2 linked regions of the Arabidopsis thaliana genome follow. The protein of the gene in region 1 interacts with the protein of each later gene in a pairwise test. Each region holds a gene or a part of one and is shown in the gene's direction. Other genes may lie near its edges.

The links.
Region 2: the proteins of PSP (region 1) and AT5G47590 interact in a two-hybrid assay, tested with the Arabidopsis thaliana proteins (one large-scale study listed by BioGRID).

The regions. Positions count from the first base shown.
Region 1 is NC_003070.9:6,415,544-6,420,566, reverse strand, and holds PSP (3-phosphoserine phosphatase), read left to right. Parts: upstream 1-1,873; 5' UTR 1,874-2,008; intron 2,009-2,310; 5' UTR 2,311-2,321; coding exon 2,322-2,544; intron 2,545-2,732; coding exon 2,733-2,865; intron 2,866-2,957; coding exon 2,958-3,065; intron 3,066-3,332; coding exon 3,333-3,426; intron 3,427-3,545; coding exon 3,546-3,695; coding exon of another isoform or gene 3,696-3,780; coding exon 3,781-3,834; intron 3,835-3,917; coding exon 3,918-4,043; 3' UTR 4,044-4,283; downstream 4,284-5,023. Other genes in the region: PDCB3 (plasmodesmata callose-binding protein 3), read left to right, coding at 154-205, 549-788, 1,108-1,141, 1,303-1,531; GR-RBP6 (glycine-rich RNA-binding protein 6), read right to left, coding at 4,284-4,451, 4,836-4,942. UniProt on the Arabidopsis thaliana protein: Catalyzes the last step in the plastidial phosphorylated pathway of serine biosynthesis (PPSB). The reaction mechanism proceeds via the formation of a phosphoryl-enzyme intermediates. Required for embryo, pollen and root development.
Region 2 is NC_003076.8:19,296,918-19,301,177, reverse strand, and holds AT5G47590 (Heat shock protein HSP20/alpha crystallin family), read left to right. Parts: upstream 1-2,003; 5' UTR 2,004-2,078; coding exon 2,079-2,133; intron 2,134-2,407; coding exon 2,408-2,785; coding exon of another isoform or gene 2,786-2,871; coding exon 2,872-3,233; 3' UTR 3,234-3,564; downstream 3,565-4,260. Other genes in the region: AT5G47600 (HSP20-like chaperones superfamily protein), read left to right, coding at 722-776, 893-1,233; ASG7 (uncharacterized protein), read left to right, coding at 3,984-4,260.

The DNA.
Region 1 (5,023 bases):
ACTGTCTTCAACGCAGTGACTCTCTTTCTCTCTCTTTATTCACACCTCTTGTTACCTTCAAAACCTTCTCTCAATCTCCTCCATTATCCTTCTCTTTTTCTCTCTCCCTGCAACTGGCTCCATCCCAAAGTGCTTCGTTCTGGTACAGCGACCATGGCAGTTTTTGTTCTTGTGATGATTTTGTTGGCCATGGCTGGTCACTCAAGTAAGTATATCTTCGTCTCTTTTCAAATCCTTCTCTGTCTCATATAGATCCTCTTCTTTTCTTCTATGGCAAAACGATTCTTCTTTTCTTTGTTCACCCACTCTGTTTTACAACAGAACAACATAGTCACAAACTTCTTAGCTTTCATAGTTTTTAATGAAATTTTCCACAAAGAAGGGCCATTTTTGCTTTTACCCATACCTTCTTTTCATATTTCCTTTTTGACTGTGGAGTTCAACAATCTTGTCCCCTCTTGAATTAAACATTAAGGTGTTCCATTTCACACATTATCAGTGAATGAGATTTGAAGAATGCTCATTGAAGTGTTTATGTGTGTCTTTAGGTGGGACATGGTGTGTATGCAAAGAAGGGTTAAGCGAGGCAATGCTGCAGAAGACATTGGACTACGCATGTGGTGCAGGAGCTGATTGTGGACCCATTCACCAGACCGGGCCTTGCTTTAACCCTAACACCGTCAAGTCTCACTGCTCCTACGCCGTCAACAGCTTCTTTCAGAAGAAAGGTCAGTCTCTGGGCACTTGTGACTTTGCTGGCACAGCCACCTTCTCAGCCTCTGATCCCAGTGAGTCTCTCCTACCAACCTCACTACATTAGAATTAGTGCAAAAACAATTTGTTCATATTTGGTAACTTAACTAGGTAAAGTTAAAAGCAGTAGTTGAAAAATGGAACCCAACTTGAAAGCAAATCAGAAAGGCTAGTTTATATTAATCTAAACTTCACATGTTTCAATGTGAATGATATGATAAATAAAGTATCCATTATCTTATTATATAGTATCACAACTCAAGATTCTCTACACAGATTTGAAACTAGATTGTAGAACATATCATTTTTATTAGTAACTGTTGTCTCTTGTACCATTGTGGTCTTATGATATAGGCTACACTACTTGTCCTTTCCCTGCAAGTGCCAGGTACACACCCTTCTTTCTTTCTTCACTTCTTATTTGTTGTTTTGCAAACAAGAATTGGCTTTGGTCTTGAGGATCTTTGCACTCTAGATCTTTGTTTAAGCTGATTGATACAATCTGAGAGATGTGTTTGTATGTTTGTTGTTATTTACCATTTAATGCAGTGGAAGTGGGACAACGACTCCAGTGACGACAACACCTTCGACAAGAGTCCCTACAACAACTAATACAAGACCCTACACAATCACACCATCAACAGGAGGAGGTTTGGGAATACCGTCTGGTATTAACCCGGATTACACAGATCCATCCTTTGGATTCAAACTCCAAAGCCCAAGATTTGGATTCATAGTCTTGTTCACTCTCTTCCTACCCTTTTACTTGTTTAGCTAACTAAGTGATCATGTGAGTAGTGTGTGTGGGTCTCAATCTAATGTAATGATGGAATCTATGGAGATAGAGACATTTTTTTGTTCCATCTTTGTCTGTTTTTCCAGCTGTTCCCCACTTGCCTCTGATAAAAATTGTACATTTTGATTTCAAGTAAGGAGACGGAAATATATTTATTTAAGGTTACGTTACCTTCACCGGAATTGTTATGACCGGAGATAATCAAATCTGAATTTCTGATTGTCTGAATTGACCCCAAACACAACCAATCAAAACAAAACACAAAGGATAAAAATGTCATTTTGACGGGTTAATGTATATAACTAATAAAGGGTAAAATTGTCATTTGACTTCACCAACCAACAAACACTCTTCTCAGTGGCTTTTTTTTTAATTGATCGGATCCTCCAAGCAGCAGCCGAAGACGACCGCCGGCGATTTCCGGTTGGCAATTGTTCTCATCTGATCTGCTTTCTCGCGGTACTGATCTCTGATCCCAATCTTACATCGTAAAATCTCTGCTTTCGTTCGGGTTTTGATGATATAGATCACGTGGATTCCTTCTTTTCACAATTGACTGTTACAAAATCACAACATTACATTTAATCTCTTTCACGTCCCCAATTGTTGTATGAAATTTGATGTATGTGAGGTAGAAGGTCATGTTCTATAAGCTCATTCGACCAAATTTGTGTGTTTGTAAACTTAACTTTGATTTGTTCATCTCCAAGGTTCTCTCAAAATGAACGTCAGACTTATTGGGCACTCTTGTTTTCTTGTAGCTCCAAGTTTAATGGAAGCATTAACTACTTCAAGGGTTGTGCCAGTTCAGGTCCCCTGTAGAAAGCTCTCTTCACTTTTTGCTAATTTTTCTTGCCTTGAGTTAAGGAGATATCCTTGTAGAGGTCTTGTCTCCATTATGAACCATCCCAAATTGCTTCGTCCAGTGACTGCTTCTGTGCAGCCTCACGAGTTGTCGACTTTGGGGCATGAAGGCAACATTGTTCCTTCTAAAGGTAACTAATTCTAATTACTTCAGAATCTGTTGAATTTAGATTTTAGGGAATAACCTGAGCTGCTTGGTACTAGGAGGTATGAAGGAAGAGTTCTAAGAGTTAAATTACAAACTGTTTTAAGCTTTTGAATTGTTTATAGATTGCTGAGTTTCTTTCTACTTTTGGTTGTTGGTTTTCTGAATTGCTAGAAATTCTTGATCTTTGGAGAAGTGTTGAAGCGGTATGTTTCGATGTGGACAGCACGGTTTGTGTGGATGAAGGTATTGATGAACTTGCTGAGTTTTGTGGAGCTGGAAAGGCTGTTGCTGAATGGACTGCCAGGTTTTTGGTCCATCTCAACGCATATATATGCTAAAGCTCTGATGATTTTTACTGCCTTTTTATGTTAACTTATCGAGTATTGCTGTTCTTAGAGCTATGGGTGGATCTGTTCCATTTGAAGAAGCTCTAGCTGCAAGACTTTCTTTATTCAAGCCTTCTCTTTCAAAAGTAGAGGAATATCTCGACAAGAGACCCCCAAGGTATTGATTTTGGTTACAGTTACTTTGCATGTGTTGTGATTTTGATCTTTTGGTATGATGCGAGCTACCTTCCCATGATTCACTCTGCTAAATAAATCGTTTCACTTATAAAGATAGATTTTACTTGTAAGTGTTCCATTGGCCCATGTTCTTGTCTTGAATTAGACTTTGACCAATAGACATCTAGCTGGCTTGATTCCTGCTTAAGATATGTCCAGATTACTTTCTCAAGTTTGTTATTATAGTGTGTTTCTTTGGTTTGTTTAGGCTATCTCCTGGCATTGAAGAGTTGGTCAAGAAACTCAGAGCCAATAACATTGATGTCTATTTGATATCTGGAGGTTTTCGACAGATGATCAATGTACTCTATCTCTCTCCCTAGTTTCTTCATGTTCTTTACTAAGACCAGCTGCATCAATTCTTGTGTAGAATACTACAATCATGGTGATAAGGTTATGATTCAATTTCTTTTCACTGTAGCCTGTAGCATCGATTCTTGGCATCCCTCGGGAGAATATCTTTGCCAACAATCTTCTATTTGGAAACTCCGGCGAGTTTCTGGGATTTGATGAGAACGAACCTACGTCAAGAAGTGGAGGCAAAGCCAAGGCAGTGCAACAAATACGAAAGGTTCACGGAACTTTATTAATTTGCAAGCTCCCATATCTCTTCTTAAGTACAACACTTTGTACCAATGAAACTTGGTTCTTTCCAGGGTCGTCTCTACAAGACTATGGCCATGATTGGAGATGGTGCTACTGATCTCGAAGTAAGCTATTATCAACCGAGAATTTGCAGATTACAATGAACTCTCAAATACTGTCTTGAGTAACTAAGGTAATATACTTGCAGGCACGTAAACCTGGTGGCGCAGATTTGTTCATATGCTACGCTGGAGTTCAGCTTCGTGAAGCCGTTGCAGCAAATGCAGACTGGCTTATCTTTAAGTTTGAATCTCTCATAAACTCATTGGACTAAAAGCCTCTATAGTGATTATTCTCGTTTAGCTAAACTCATTATTCATATCTCCAAATTTGTACCCTTTTATGAATTTGTATCAAATACCAATTGAATCAACAAATGTTTTTGCCAACTTTAGCCGCTTGATATGTTTGTTCAAGCATAAGAGCGTTGTTATAACAAAATAGTGGTCTTTGTGAAGAGAAAATTAAACCACAGACTAATCAATCTTGGCGGTAGACATATCTGGATGTCCAGTTAACGAACAAAGCCATAGCCACCACCACCAAATCCACCGCGACCAAATCCACCACGAGCATATCCCCCACGACCACCACCATAACCTCCCCTTCTTGCAAAACCACCACCACCCCCACCACCTCCTGAATCAGCTGGATGCACTCCAATTATTCGCCCATCAAGCTCCTATTTAAGCAGGAAACTCTATAAATGGCGGATTGACATAATCAAGCAAAGAAAGAAAGAACAATCCCATTGGTTTCTGAAGCAGCAACGTAGTACCAAAACATCTCTCTTTCTGTCTAAAGAAAATGAGATAAACAAAGCAATGAAAAGAATGGTCTAATTTCACAGTATGATTCTTTACTAAAAGAGTTACTTATCAAACGAGAGAGACAGGAGTAGCATTACAAGCTATATGATAAATTGCTAATATACAAACTAGTGTACTAGAAACAAACTTATGTCACAAAGTAAGAAGATTTTAAGGATATGGAAAGAAAGTAAAGTGAGAAAGTAATTAGACTCATGATAATTAGCAACCAAAATAAGCCGGAAAATTGGCATCACCTTATTTTGCATAGCTTGCATTGCGTTATTAGCAACTTCGATCGAATCATATGTTACGAAACCAAAGCCCCTTGATAAACCACTTTCACGGTCCAAAACCACTACCGCTGTGAAGAACAAAGTAAATTTTAGTCAGCAATGAGAAGAAAAACCAATGGAGAAATGAGACAGCTGTAAAAACGATAGCT
Region 2 (4,260 bases), on another chromosome or scaffold:
CAATCTTCAGTAAGAATCAAATAAAACTCAGAGCAACTTAAATTATAATGTGTATGGAGGAGATTAGATGGAAGCTGAATAACTAACATATACTGCACCAAATCAAAAGCAGTTTTCGAATTTTAAAGGCTCAAACACTCATTGGGCCGATGTATGGGCCAAATACACAAGTAACTAACATATACATACTTGTGTTTGCTATGGTACCCAATGATTCATGTCATTTGTTTTCACAAACTTTTAACTCTTTTTTTTTCCTCTAAGCCGATTGAAACAAATTGGGTCCATTGCATAATTTACCTAAAGCTAAGCTGATATTGAATATTAGTTTCTTCCATCAAATGTCAATTGTTTATAATTCATCCCCCGACAAAACTAAATGGGCCGATTCTTAGGCCCATATTAGGTGGTCACTCCGGTTGTGCTAAAAATTGTTCAGAGAAGTCAAAGTCTCCAGATTGATGTCAATTGTCAACACTCTACAAGATCACTCCTTTCCATGGAGTTCAACTAGAAGAGCTTTTCGATCAATTTCACCAAATCAGAAACAATTTCGAATTTTTAACACTCCTTGGGCCGATTAATGGGCCAAATGATAGGTCACTCCAGGCCTTTCCCAAACCCTATAGTCCTCCTCGGCTATAAATAGCAAGTGGAGTAGAGCGACTTTGCTCACTCAGTTTCCTTCCAAAAGAAAGAGAAAGAGCATCGTTTTGAGCAAATGAGTAGGAACATGGAAGTTAACGCAGGCAGTTCCGGCGAAATTCCGTCTCCAAGTAAAGTTTTCATCTTTCACTGTCATTTCTTATAAAAATCAAACCTTTATAGTTTACACGTCAAATCTCTCTTTCTAATAACGAATTTGTGTTTGTTTTATCTTATGTATGTACAGTAAGGAACCGATTTCAGAAAAGTGGGAGTCAAGCGGTGTACGAGGTGACAGAGACGAAGAAATCTTGCGTGACGAGAGTCGACATGCCTGGTTGTCCCGAGTCAGATCTCACCTACTGGGTCGACGCCAACAACGTCCACTTCTTCGCCGACGAACCAGCAATGCCTGAGTACGAAAACGCCGGACGCAAATACGGAGGCTCCATGATTTTCAACCCTGAGGCTTACGACGTCAAGAAAACTAAAGTGAAGCTTATCAACGGAGTGCTCTGGATCACCGTCCCTAAGATCCCAGGCAAAAACGCTTCCATTAATGTCAAGGAGAGGATCCTCCATTACTGATTTAACAACACCTTGGTTTGTGTCTCGTAATGGTACTTGTGTCTAGCGTCTCTATCTATCTATGAACTTTGATGCAGCTACTGCTTTATGTTTATCATTTTGTGGTTTAGTTAAGAACGATCTTGCTTCTATATGTCGTGATCTCAATAAAGAAAAAGTTGTCAGCTTTCTTTGTTCTATTTAATCTTACATTAACCTAGCTATTCGATAAGACTATATAGATCTTTGCCATTATTAAACCGGATTACGAGTATGTAACCTGGACATGTTAATAGATATATGTTGTTGTAAGTAGGGATCAAACTTTTTAATAGCGTTGTCGTAATAATTGGATAAACACTAAACGACGGTTGAAACCTTATTTGATCTTTGATGAAAAAAAAAAAGATAATTGAGAGCTCATAATTTTTTTACTCTTGAAGATTGCTGACGTCAGCGTCGTCTTGTCAAAAATGTTTGAAAATTAATGAAGAGTGAAGAGTGTGGGTACGGTTTTACTTTTGCAGTCATTTTTGTCGTACATAATTACATATAAACGAAAGGAGTAAAAAAAGCGTGGGATAGCTCACAGAGCTGGTGACGTCAGCTTATTCTCTACCGTAAAAAAAATCAAAAGAGTAAAAGCAAGTTTTTTTTCTTACCGAGAGAGAGAGTCGGTGACGTAGGCAAGACCAGTCAAACTTATGCTATGAAGGTTAAAAAAAAGCCAGCTGGAGCGTGCCACGTCACAGTCTGTACCACAAGATGGTGCTTCGTCTATATTTATCAACAGGAGAACAAAACGCCATTTTTACGCAACCTACCTTGAACTAGAAGAGAAGAGAGAGCAAAAAACAAAGAGAGAGATGGGTGAGACAAAGGCAGATTTCAGGGACATGTCAAGAATTCCTAAAGTTCGAGGTATCTCTTTTCACGAGCTACTAGATTTCCCAAGAACAACATTGTTCTAATTTTTCTCGGAAAATATGTGTTTTTTCTAGAAAGTTGTCTCAATTTGTTTACTTGTGAAGTGTTAACATGAACTTGGTACAAAGATTTACAGTTTTTTTACTGTGCATGATTCATGAAAATGAAGCAGATCGAGTTAGTTCCATCTTTGATAAGTGTCTTCCTTTGTTCTCTGTATACTTTTCTTCATCAAGTTTTGATCTTTGTTTACTTATTATTATTACAGAGGGGTTCTACGCGACGAACAATCAGTTTCAGAAAGCGGGTCCAAAGGGTTTCGTTCAAGTGAAGGTTCTGGAGAACGACAATCTCTACGTGCGTGTCGACTTGCCTGGTGTTCCAGACGACGCCGTTCGCTACAGAGTTGACGCCGTGAGACAAAAGGTTGTCTTTTTCTCCGGTGAAACTCTGAACAACGGCAAGGAAGGTGTGCGTCAGTACTCTGGAACCGCTGGGCTTGGCTGTGACTGCTGCGAGATCACAGGCGTGGATGCCAAAATGAAAGATGGAGTTTTGAGGATGATTCTCACAAGGGTCAAGGTTGTGAGCAAGGCTCAAGACAACAACAACAACAAGTGTACTCTCACTGTGCCTCCTTTTACAGGTTCGACTCATTCCTCTTCTCTAAAGTCACAATCTCTTTTGCTGCATCATTTGTTGTTAATACAGTACTCTCTGTTCTTTATTAAGGTCAATCCGGAATACGCTTGGAGGATCATCCGTGTCTGGTGTCTGGTCGCAAGGGAGCACTAATTGGGGTGACAAAAGCGGGAGGAGGGGCTCACTTTGCAGTGGACATGCCAGGTGTTAGTCCGGATGATGTGGAAGTGTATGCTGATGAAAAGGAAATCAGATTCAAAGCTGAGATCAAGGACGTGTATGAACACGATGAGAGCGGTCGAACCTACCTCGGAAGCGTCCAAAGTCCTTTTCCCGCTTTAATTTCGAACAACACCATCGCTTGGGATGCAGAATTTGGTGTTCTCAGGATTGCTGTCATACCTCCTGACGACATGACCACCATCAACAACAAAAGAAACCCTATTGAATGAATGATCTCTCTACCTCTCTTTTAGCTAGTACTCTACTATATTTTCATTTTGGGACATTGACTAGTTTTCTCTGTTTAAGTTGAGACATTGTGTGTGTGAGAGAGATTAGTCCTGCTTTTGTGTTTGCTATCGAATCAAGTGATTCATGTCATTTGTTTTCACAATCTTAACTCTTTTGTTCCCCTAAGCTGAATTCAAAAACAAACAAACTGGATCCCTCGAATAACCTGATTGGTGATGATGATTGCTCAAAACCCCCTAAAGCTGATTCCATGGAATGTCAATTGTTTATAGATCCTAGGACATTTGATCTGTCACTCAACAGTGCCTAATTCCTCAATTGAATCGAAATGGTCATGAAAGGAGTGTGATCATTTTATCAGACAAGTCAAAGTTTCTACTCTTCATCATTATTAACACATCCAGTAACAAAACTAATTGGGCCGATTATTAGGCCCATGATAGGTGGATCACTCCAGGCCTTTTCCAAACTCCACGAAAGCAGGCAGAAACACTTTCTTCCCGTGAGTTTTTCCCGGTTGATCTGCGATTCAACAGTGTCTATCCGAAATTTAGTTGAAATGGTCATAGAAGAGTGTAGTAGAAAGGTTGGAATTTGTGCTCAAAATCGGTCAGAGAAGTCAAAGTTTGCTACTTTTCCAGTCTCTAGAATGATGTCAACAAGATCACTCATTTCCATGGAGTCAACTTGAAGAAGAGCTTTTTCGATCAAATCCTTGAATTCGATTGATGGGTATCCTCGGCTGCGACGCCCATGGCGATTTGAACGATGCAGAGTTCAGCAAACCCTTACCTTCGATTGGTATCTACGTTGCCGTAGCTTCACTCATCTGTGGTCTAGCCATGGCCGCCGATCTTATACACGGCTTCCGACACCGCAAATTCTGGTTTCCCTGTAAGTTCTTCTCTCTCAACGCCACTTCTCTGACTTTCATCGCTGTCGGAATCAAACTCTCTGTGGATCTCAACACTTCCATGCCGAGTCGTCAGGATCAGTTAGCTAAAC